2 linked regions of the Schizosaccharomyces pombe genome follow. The protein of the gene in region 2 purifies or fractionates together with the protein of the main gene of each other region. This does not show direct contact. Each region holds a gene or a part of one and is shown on either strand. Other genes may lie near its edges.

Region 1 (4,644 bases), on a different chromosome or scaffold from region 2:
CCGCAGAGCCTTCGTTGGATGCTTTTAACAGTACCCAAATCAAAGCAGGATCGACTGCCAATTCTAATTCAACACCGGTTGAACCCGGTGAAGATACCATTCCAACGGCTATTGTTGTGAAAAATATTCCTTTCTCGTTGGAGAAAGATACATTGTTGGATCATTTTAAGCAACTAGGTATTCCCAGACCTTATGCCTTTAATTATCACTATGACAATGGAATATTTCGAGGATTGGCTTTTGCTAATTTTTATCGTCCTGAAGAGGCTCAAGTTGTTGTGCAAACGCTTAATGGCTATGAAATTAATGGCAGACGTCTTCGTGTTGAATGGAAACGCCAATTACCAGCTGCAGAACGCGAGAAGGTGGAAAAAGCAAAGAAACGTCAAGCTGAAGAAAGACGTCGTAAACAGCAGTACAAGATGTTTGAAGTTAGCTTTACTGATCAAGGCTTAAATTTGAATGACACTGGTACCCTTGAAACTTATAGTAGACTTCTATTGTTTGCTCATCAATGCATTCCTTCTCGTGAAATAACATTTGAAACCACTTCTAAGGACGGAAACCTTCTAAATGCCATTAGAATCTTTTGCCTGTACTTTGATCTCGATTACTATGCTCGCCCGAATGGAGAGGTGTTAAAATTAGTAGTTACTCATCCGAATAAAAAGAATACGAGCGTAAGTCAGTCGCAACCTGCATCTCCAAATTTAAGATTTAATATGCCGGCACCGTTAGCTACTCGATTTTTGCAAGAGCATTCATTGAATGGTACTAAGAGTGCCCCTATAACCCCACCTCCCAGTTTCGCAGTACCATTGACAAACCAACTTCGTTCGATTGACGACAAAATTTATGGAAATGAATCACCGCTTCAAAAGGCTTCTACTTTGAGTTCACCTTTCAATTCAAAAAATGATAATGATGCTTCTACCTCCGCTTCCAAGCAGAGTTTTGGTGTCTCCCACTTTTAGAGTCTATGCAATTATAAAGAAACTGTTTATGTACCTTTTAAGATATGATTTTTGTTTACGCCAACTATAGATGCATTTACTATACGCTATTTGTTTTGACTAAATTTTGCTCTTTATCCCTTTATCACTTACTTCTGATGAATCTAAACTCTATGGGCTTCATTTTGTTGATTTTTTGTTTTCCCTTTCACATAGTTGGTTATCCAGCAAATAATCCTTTTAAATACTTAGAAGCTTATATTTTATCGTTTTGAATTCCCACGACACATTTGGACGACTCGACTTAACAGCAATCAATGATGGATATATGTTGGGTGAGGCATAATGTTTTATGACGATAATCAACGGATGAGCGATGCTCCTATTTTTTTACAAATTATAACGATTTTTCTTGTATAAGAAATTTATGCCCTACCGTATAATATACACATACTTTACATGATTAAATTTAACCTTGGACAAATACATTAGTCTGATATTACAAAATTGAACTTTTATTTTTGTAAATTTAATCATCTTCTTTATGTGGATGTGAATGTTCCTAGCTTAGTATTACCGTACTATGGATATAGAAATAAACCTACGATTTAAAGTCTATTTTCTACCAAGCTTGTAGGGCTTTAAATGAGCTACTTTAAAATTACCTAAAATATCGTTAAATTTTCCTATATAATGCGAATTGATTTATATGTAAAAAAGAAAAAGAAATTGCAAGCATGGTGGACTTTTAGTTCCATTGTTAGTAAGTTGTAATTAAAGGAAGTTACAAAGGATTCACTAAAATAAGAATACTTTATGGGTTATCGCAGCCTTACTCAATTACTGCACTTGAATGTCTATTGAATTTAAGAATGAAGAAAGGATAACACAAAGATGCACGATTCTTTTTGGATGAACTTTTATTTTTTGTTAAGGTTATGAAAAAAGATGAAATACACTTGACCTTGTAATTACTGCAGCTAGAAAAAGAAAATATTATAAAAACCAGTTTCATGAGTTATGGCTGGAAGTACCGCACAACACCATAAATATTGATAATCTGCTATATTGCCGATAATATAAAGTTAAATTAGTAGAAAAAGTAAACTAAGAAACAGAAATTTTCTTATTTTACCCATATAAACCTATGTATTAGAGGATAGCAATTGTATTTATGAGTTCGAGGGGAACAAGATCATCAACTGCTGCCGAGCAGAAAAGGCAGGAGGATGTAAATAAAGAATCAAATATGAATGATTCTGTTACTGAATGGTCTGTTTTAGAGGAAACCTTACTGTTAAAAGCTATTTGTCGTGGATTGCGCCCTGTAGGTAAGTGTTCGAAAGGTTAATTGCTCGGTCTCTTATTTTAAAAGCTGCATGTTATCAAATTATTGCATTCATTCACTAATTAAAAAATAGGAATAGAAAAAAATTTTTATATGATAGGGATTTTACGAGAAATTCGTGATGGCTGCAAAAGATCAACAATTAAGGCTCAGGACGTTTGGAATAAATTAGGAACACTTTATAATTTGAAAGAGTTTGAAGAATTGGTATGTCAAAAAGCCTTTTAATTTTTTGTTTTCAAGTATTTGTTGACAGTTTTTTAAATTAGGAAGCTCCAGGAAATGAAGAAGTTAAGGCGAAAGAAAAACGAATAAAGTCGCCAGATGTTAAAGATTTTAAATTACCAAAAGATATTCTTAAAGTAAAAGAAAAATCCGAGAAACCATTGGAAACATCTCAAAAAGTGGAGATTGAAACGGTAGAAACTAAACCCGGTGAACCCGAAGTTAAGCAGGAGACGAATTTACAGAAAGAGAAGAAGGAAAGTAAAGTCAAGCTTGAATCTAAAGAAGAGAAAATTTCTCGGAATTTACGATCCTCTTCTAGAAGTATTTCTCCTGTTACTGAACAGCCGCAAAGTCCAAAGATTCAGCCTGTTATTCCCGAAAAAAAAGAAAAGTCTGAAAAGAAAGAGAGTTCCATGACTTTGCGAAAAAGATCCGTCTCGCCATCTTCTCAAAATACAGCCCGTTCTCCAAAGCGTATGGCTACTGAGCCCATAGAGCCTGCTTCTTCACCGGCAGCTTCAAACCAAGCTATTCGCCGTAGCTCTCGAAGCCGGAGGCCTCCGACCTAGCTCTTGTTAACAGAAAAACCTAGGATGGGAAAGACTGATTATTTGTACATATCATTTATGCTTGGTCTACTCTAATGAACGGTTATTTATATATGAGACCAAAATTAATTATCACAAGGGATTTATAAAAAGTGAAAAATAAAAAGAATTATGATTTTACTACAACTAATATTTTGTATGTCAAGGAGATTTGTTTTAGCAGAATTATAGGTTTAATGGGATCGACGGCATGTCCAAAACTAATTTGCTTTTGCAGTTTTACTCCTTTTTGATGCTCGATTCACGTAATGGGAAAAGACGAACGGCTTTGTTACAAACAAATTTACTCTGATTTACCGCTACGATTTTTGAATCCCGTCACTTCTTTACTGTTCGTTACGATGTTTTATGTAGCTATATATACTGTTTGATAGCTTGACTTGCTAAAAAAAATCTTCTAACTGTGAGTTTTCAATTTTAATTCGATAGGTCCATATGTTAATGTCGATTTGGTTGGAAATATGTTTTAAAGTATGTTTAACACGCATAGACAGAGAGATTCCAATAGGTAGTATACATATTACTTTCAAATTGATGAGCAAATTGTTTTCAAAACCTTACACAGGTAACGATTTGATCAATGAATTTTTCAATTCCGGTGAAACGGACTTGAGTATTCACATGAGTTAATGTATTATTTATCGGCACATCAGACCATTGCCTAGCAGAGTCTGCCGAATTTAACAACTTTTAAAACACAATAGATCTATAAGTACAGCTCTCTAATAGCAAAGCAAAACTGAGCAACCCGTCATTGCGAAACCTTTAAAAGACATCAAAAATACACAAACGCGCTTGCATTCAGGTACATAAACATGCAGCGGGATCTACTTCATAGAGTTTCGTAGATTCCCTTACTTGAAAGGTTAATATCGTACATAATTTTCATACTGTGAGGCAAAAATCTCATTAATATTTAGTATTCAACAACATAAAAACAATTTTAGCAATTAAACTTGAAACCGTTTAATAAACAATGGAAGTACACTAACAAAGATAATCCTAGTGTCTCTCTATTCAGAATTGATATTCGCCGTTTTACCGACCTGATAGGGTAATAGGGCTCACTATCAGTTACACATAGAAGGATTACCAGTTTATCTATCAGCACATAAAATTTGATATAAATAGTGCATCTAGCCCAAAAGTAGTAAGAAGTTTTTCCTATATATATATATAGCGGCCTTCCGCTTGGTAGATTTCATCTTTGATGTATTCACACACATTCTTGAAAACTTTGAATTGTTTAGTCAAAGACATTGAAAGCAACTTGTTCATTGAATTAATTAATTGTTCAAATTGGTCAAACAGTCAAACACAAGGAGAGATGCTATTAATTCAACGGCAAAGTCTCGTCCCAAAATTGCCATGATATAATAATTTTTCCAAAAAAAGAATAAAATGTATGTGAGATGAAATTTTTTAATGAGAAAACTCGGTATTGTGGTAATGAAATAAAGACTTATGAAGGAATAAAGACGCTGATGAAATATTATTGTACAATTGG
Region 2 (5,807 bases):
ACTTGTCTGTCAAAAAGCCATTTAGAAGAATGATCTTGCTCTATCAAACATTCCAATCCAAAACAGCCTCCGTATTTTTTATACCAATGAGGGTCATAACATTTGTGCCGGAAATCAGATAATAAGACCTCAAAAATTGGAAGGATAAAAGCCCTTTCTGGATTTTCAAAAATCGATTCTAAAAAACTAAACATAAATTTAAGTACATGTTTCACAGCATCACCCATCTTGCTATTGTCATTACAAACGACTTCTGATAGACAATGAGCAAAATAATGAGGACTAATAATAACCTCCTTTTGCAAATTAGTCGTAAATTTTGAATGATTTCCTTGAATAACGTCAAAAGCATAAAAAATATCGTGTACAATTACGTTGACCGCCAGTTTTTCAAGCCAGAAGTAAGCTTCTTCGCGGAGTTCATCAACCGTCGTAGCAAAAAAAAGTCCATATGTAGCCGAGGCCAAAATTATGGTTTCATCTGAATCATCACTCAGTTGGGTGAATGAACTCCTTCCAGTCATTCGGCTCGGTATTACAGAATATGGTCGTCGAAAATCAAAATTACTCTTAGAAATCTTGTCTGCAGTACATCGAATGGATGAGGCTAAGCTGTTAGTAGCGTCACTCTTATAAACATAGAGCTTTGAAATATTGCAAACATAAGTGAACGCTTGTTGCTTAACCTCCAGATCACTAGAAGGGCTAGAAAGCAAATTCACAGCCTCATCAACATATTGGGTGTAATGTAAAAGTTGTGGTTGTTTAACCCCTTTTATCGAAAGAAGTAAAGTAAAATCGTTATTCGGTTCCGGCGAATTCTTTAAACTCTGGACTCTATCAAGAAGCTTCCTATTTCTTCCACCAAGTTTACCAAGTATTTTCAAGGCAGTATGGCTGTGATTATAATTATAAGGAAGAGGTTGTAGATGACTCCATAAAGCATTCATTAGATCTTCTATGTAAGGAGCCATTATCGGATCCAAAAAATCAGGAGTGAGATTATCCAAGCATAATTCAAAGGTTCGTAATCCCTGACTAACTAATTCTTGACTGCTTTTTAAAGACATGACGAGAGGTCTCATTAGATAACTCATGTATGGTAATAAAAGACTAAGCCTTACAGGAATAGTAAGACAAAGTTCGGTAAAAAGGTCTTTCTCCTTCGGAGTACGGGCAGATATAAGCAATGAATTAAATGCCTCTAATAGAGCGTGCAACAAAGGCATTACTTCTTTATAAAGGCTTTCAAATCTTCCCCCACCAATTCCTCGGAACAACGCTCTTAATAGATAATAGTAGTTCAATGAATTAGCAGAATTGGGAGCCAACTTCATACATTTCACAATAATTTCAGATACATAAGGCCGAAGAACTGGCTCATTCTCTGTTGCAAACATTGAGACTGTAACGAAAGAAAGACGAAACAAACGCAACAAGACAGAACCATGCCTGATGTCAGAAGATCCGAGTTCCTCAATTCTGGAAAGCAGAAATCGAAGTAAAATATTTAAAAATTTTGATGATGTGCTCTCATTTGAAAGCAAAAACTGTGGAATGTGAAATAATGTGAGATTTTTTTTAAGTTGATCAAAAAAAGTAGGAAGGTTTGTTTCAAAAACTTTAAGAAATATAGATGGCTCGAGATGTATAAAAATGGTAGCAAATACTTCAAGACAATCTTTCTCGTCTTTGTTACGAGGAAGCGTAGATATAGCAGGGCGATCTAAACTTTCTTCTTCGCAGCAGAAAAAAGTTTCTAAATAGACTTGCTCAGGTCGAAAATATGAGAATCCTTTGCCAACCTCAAAAAAAAGCTTCTGAAACGTAACAGCTTCGAAAGGCTTGATATTCGTAAGGAATCCCGAAAATTGTTCACCTCCAATTTCTATGCATCGAGACTTGCATGTACGAAGCCCATACATAAGAGCCCGTAAGCCAAACATCAAGTTTTTAAAAAGAAATGATCCATCATTGACGGAAGTGCTAAATGAAGATAAATCCCTAGGAGAAGAACGCGTCGGTGACTTTGTCTCTTTAATTTCTTCTTCATACTTTTTCTTAAAAAACTGATCCAAACTATCATTAAGTTCCGAAAACTTATTTACAAAGCTATCAAAAATAGATAAAAGAAGAAATATAGCATCGGGGATGCTAGGAAGACTAATCATTCTGTCAACCATGTTTAAAATGAGCCGGGCACCCATAGTCTGTAACCCAATGCTAAGAGTCAAATCATGCATATTGGTCGAATAAATCATTATAGATTTTCTTATTTGCGTTTCGTTAAGTTCGTCACGTACATGATGAAGTAAGTCAGCTAATGTACTAAATGCCAAGGGACGTAACAGCTTTTGAGTACCAACTCCATTTCCTAATAATATATTTAAATCTAACAAAAAATCCAGCTTTTTGACAAAAAGAGATTTTAAGTTTGTTGACAGAATATGTCTCGTAGCAACCAGCAGTTCTTTACGGGCAAAACACATATCAAAAGGGCATCGCCTCAAAAGCTTTATTACAATGTCCGGTATTATATCCTTCTCAGAAAGTGTATTGGGATGAGTTCGTAAAATATAAGCCAAGAAAGATAAAGTCTTTACTTGAGCCATAAAAAAATTACGGTACTGATATTTATTCCTTATAAACTCAATAAAGTCAATGCTTGAATCTTTTTCAATCATTGCATATGAAGCGATGTCTATTGGAACATCAATTTGTACCATCTTAAGAAAACAGGGAATTATGGCTTGAACACCAGGGAAAGCAGCTTGACGATATGCTTGAAGAATCAAAACTATAATGACCGGACACTCTACATACACGCGGAAACTTTGAGAAGCCAGTTCCAAAGGTTGAGTAGAAATAGCTAAAGAATTGACACGCTGTTGGATGATTGAAGTTTCCGTAGACAGATAACTACCAAAAGCCAGGGTTGTATTTTCCTCTTCATTTGATTTTGGATTCTCGACAAATATTGAGGGAATTAAATAAGGAAGGTTTGTAGAAAGCTCAAGTACCAAGTCAAAAAAGGGTTGTGCAGTGCTTTCTATACAAAACTTAAAAGTTTTGAATATATCCATAATAACTTTTAAGCAAAAAACAGCGACTTCTTCATTATCTGCTTTAATCAAGCTAATGAACGAAAGCACACAAGACTGCGCATATTGTTTAAATTCATCACGGTGAGCGCAACTTTGTATTAAAGTCAATGCTTCGATCTTGAGTTCATTGACAGAAGAATTTCTATAAAGATTCACCTCTGTATTTCGTAAAAAATCCAAGAGTAGTGGAATTAATTCTGCATACAGCTGCGAGGCGTCTGAAGATATGCTAGAAACCTTAGTAATTAAAATTTTAGTTAGTTTGATTTTTTCTTCTATTTCTTAAAAAAAGTTAGTATAAAATAAAAAAATGAATCAAAATATCTACAAAAATTTATATACCTGTACTTTCAGCTTTCAGTAGCTCTATAGAGCTGCTGAGCGACTTTTCAAAACCGTCTTCCATAACAAAGTTCGGTCCATGCAGATACTTTTTAATAAATCTTTGAAACCAAACTTGATACACTACGAGATTTTGGACACAGCTGTAAAAAAGCACAGAACGATTACTGTCAGATGTTGTTTAGTTGTTGCTATGTTCAAGGTGAATCGTATAGTGAGGACGCAAAACTGCACTATTCAAGAAGCCACTGAAGCTATTTGAAATCGACGTGAGTGTAATTTTTATCAAATACAATATAATACTGCTTTATAAACTATGACATGTTTGTACGATATAGAAGGTTTTTAAGAAGGAAAATATTATACAGATTTTATCATGCAGTTATCGGGTTTTTCTACAAACGGTTCCGGTTCCTTGAATACCATTGTATGTGAAAAACTTCTTTTCAAGCCTAACTTTGTTCAAGATTCTTTTATAATAGGAATGACTATTTTATGTTCAGTAATATTGTATGGGTCGGGAAATTTGCGCTACATAGATGCTTTGTTGTTGGCTTCTGGTTCTTGTACTCAGACTGGCTTGCAGCCTGTGGACCTCACGCAGATATCCATTTACCAACAGGTATGCATATTTTTAAATAAATTTTTTAACTATTTTTTAGTTAACTATTCTCCTTTTTGGAGTTTTGAGTACACCAATTACTGTGAACCTGGGCTTGACTTTGTTTAAGCTGTACTTCTATAACAAGCGATATGACATGGTCATAACAAATAATAAACTTAGGATGACATATACTTATCACACTGTAAGAAGAAGGGATACTCCAGAGCCTTCCAAAGTTGGCAATCGAAAAATTCGGGTTTTGTTAGACCAGGGTAATCAAATGCACCGGCCAGTTGCCCCAGAGACTAAGGCTGAGGAAGCTGAACACCAAGAGAATGAAAAACATCACAGGCACCATTTTCGTCTAAGGAAATTTGCTAATGCAATCGATCGCCCAAGCTTCTTTCGCGGGAATACCATGCCCGCTCTCCCTAGTTATGCAGGTGTTAGAAATTCTCAAGAAAATGAAGACAGAACTGAAGCATTAAGTCCAGCTCTTGGGAAACGAAGAATGGCATCAATCGACAATGGATCTTTATCCGTTGTACAAAACAATGCTAGAAATAATCCTGTCGACTTTTACATTCCTAGTTCGTTTGAAGAATCATCTTTTCAAACAATTCCTGAGGATTTTGAGCCTCAAGTACATGACCACGAGAATCAAACACAACTGAACCATCATCTGGATAACAACAGTTCTATCTCTTCGCACAATCCTTCCCTAGAAACTGCAAATGATGGTAATCAGGAAACTGTTTCATCCTCAAACTCAAACTACAGCACAACAAGAGTTGACAATGATCCACATGTAGCATCTTATTCACCTCAAAATTCGAATTTTGATCATCAGGCTGCTGCAACTACTAACGATGCACATCAAAATGTAGTACGCGGCTCTGCAATTACCATTGCACCAACCCCTGTTCCCAGGCATAATCGCAGGCCTATATATTTTGCTGGTAAGTCATTCCGTGATTTTAATATTGACCTTTAGATGACACGAATGGAGCTGAGCAGGAAAAAGGTGCTCATCGACTTGATGGACGAGGTAGAAAACGTGGTAAATCATTTGCTGTTACACCTACACTTCACAGGAATGAGCGCTCAATGTCTGTCCTACCATTTCAATTAGCCAAATCATTTACATCTGCTCTTCCTCGAAGACTCACATTCAACCGTACTCACACGAAAGCTAGCACAATGAGTTTACCTTATTTATCGTACAATGCAACAGTGGGCAGAAATTCTGCATTTTATGCCTTAACTCCAGTGGAGAGAGAAGAATTGGCGGGAATTGAATATGAATCTCTCAGGATATTGACTGTCATATTAGTGGTTTATTTTCTGTTTTGGCATATTCTTGGTTTGGTTGCGTTCCTAATATTCATTTATACTGCTAAAACATCCGGTCGTGTAGTTACGGACGGCGGTATAAATAGAGGCTGGTGGGCAGCGTTTACTTCTAGTTCGCTGTTTGATAATCTAGGCTATTCGTTGAACAGCGATTCTTTAAATTCCTTTCAAAAAGCCATATTTCCTCAGGTTCTTGGAACTATTCTGATATTTTTAGGGAATACTTTCTTTCCAATTATGCTCCGGTTTATAATTTGGATTATGATACGAACAACGAGATTTTCGCCTAATTTCCAGCAAGCTTTGTACTTTCTTTTCGAACACCCTCGACGAAGTTTTACTCTTCTGTTTCCTTCAAAAACTACTTGGGTGCTTTTTTTAAATTTAACTTTATTGAATTTTGC

What was found. The genes of interacting proteins can lie anywhere in the genome.
Region 1: the proteins of tra2 (region 2) and eaf7 purify together in Schizosaccharomyces pombe (affinity purification with mass spectrometry, with the first as the bait; one study listed by BioGRID). This does not show direct contact.

What each region holds. Positions count from the first base shown.
Region 1 is NC_003423.3:4,258,803-4,263,446, reverse strand, and holds eaf7 (NuA4 histone acetyltransferase complex subunit Eaf7), read left to right. Parts: upstream 1-1,985; 5' UTR 1,986-2,127; coding exon 2,128-2,284; exon of another isoform or gene 2,285-2,374; coding exon 2,375-2,508; exon of another isoform or gene 2,509-2,570; coding exon 2,571-3,098; 3' UTR 3,099-3,635; downstream 3,636-4,644. Other genes in the region: RNA-binding protein Cip1, read left to right, coding at 1-974. UniProt on the Schizosaccharomyces pombe protein: Component of the NuA4 histone acetyltransferase complex which is involved in transcriptional activation of selected genes principally by acetylation of nucleosomal histone H4 and H2A. The NuA4 complex is also involved in DNA repair.
Region 2 is NC_003424.3:257,422-263,228, reverse strand, and holds the start of tra2 (phosphatidylinositol kinase-like protein Tra2), read right to left. Parts: upstream 3,619-5,807; 5' UTR 3,511-3,618; coding exon 3,447-3,510; intron 3,386-3,446; coding exon 1-3,385. Other genes in the region: plasma membrane potassium ion transmembrane transporter Trk2, read left to right, coding at 3,768-3,873, 3,914-4,068, 4,109-5,009, 5,045-5,807.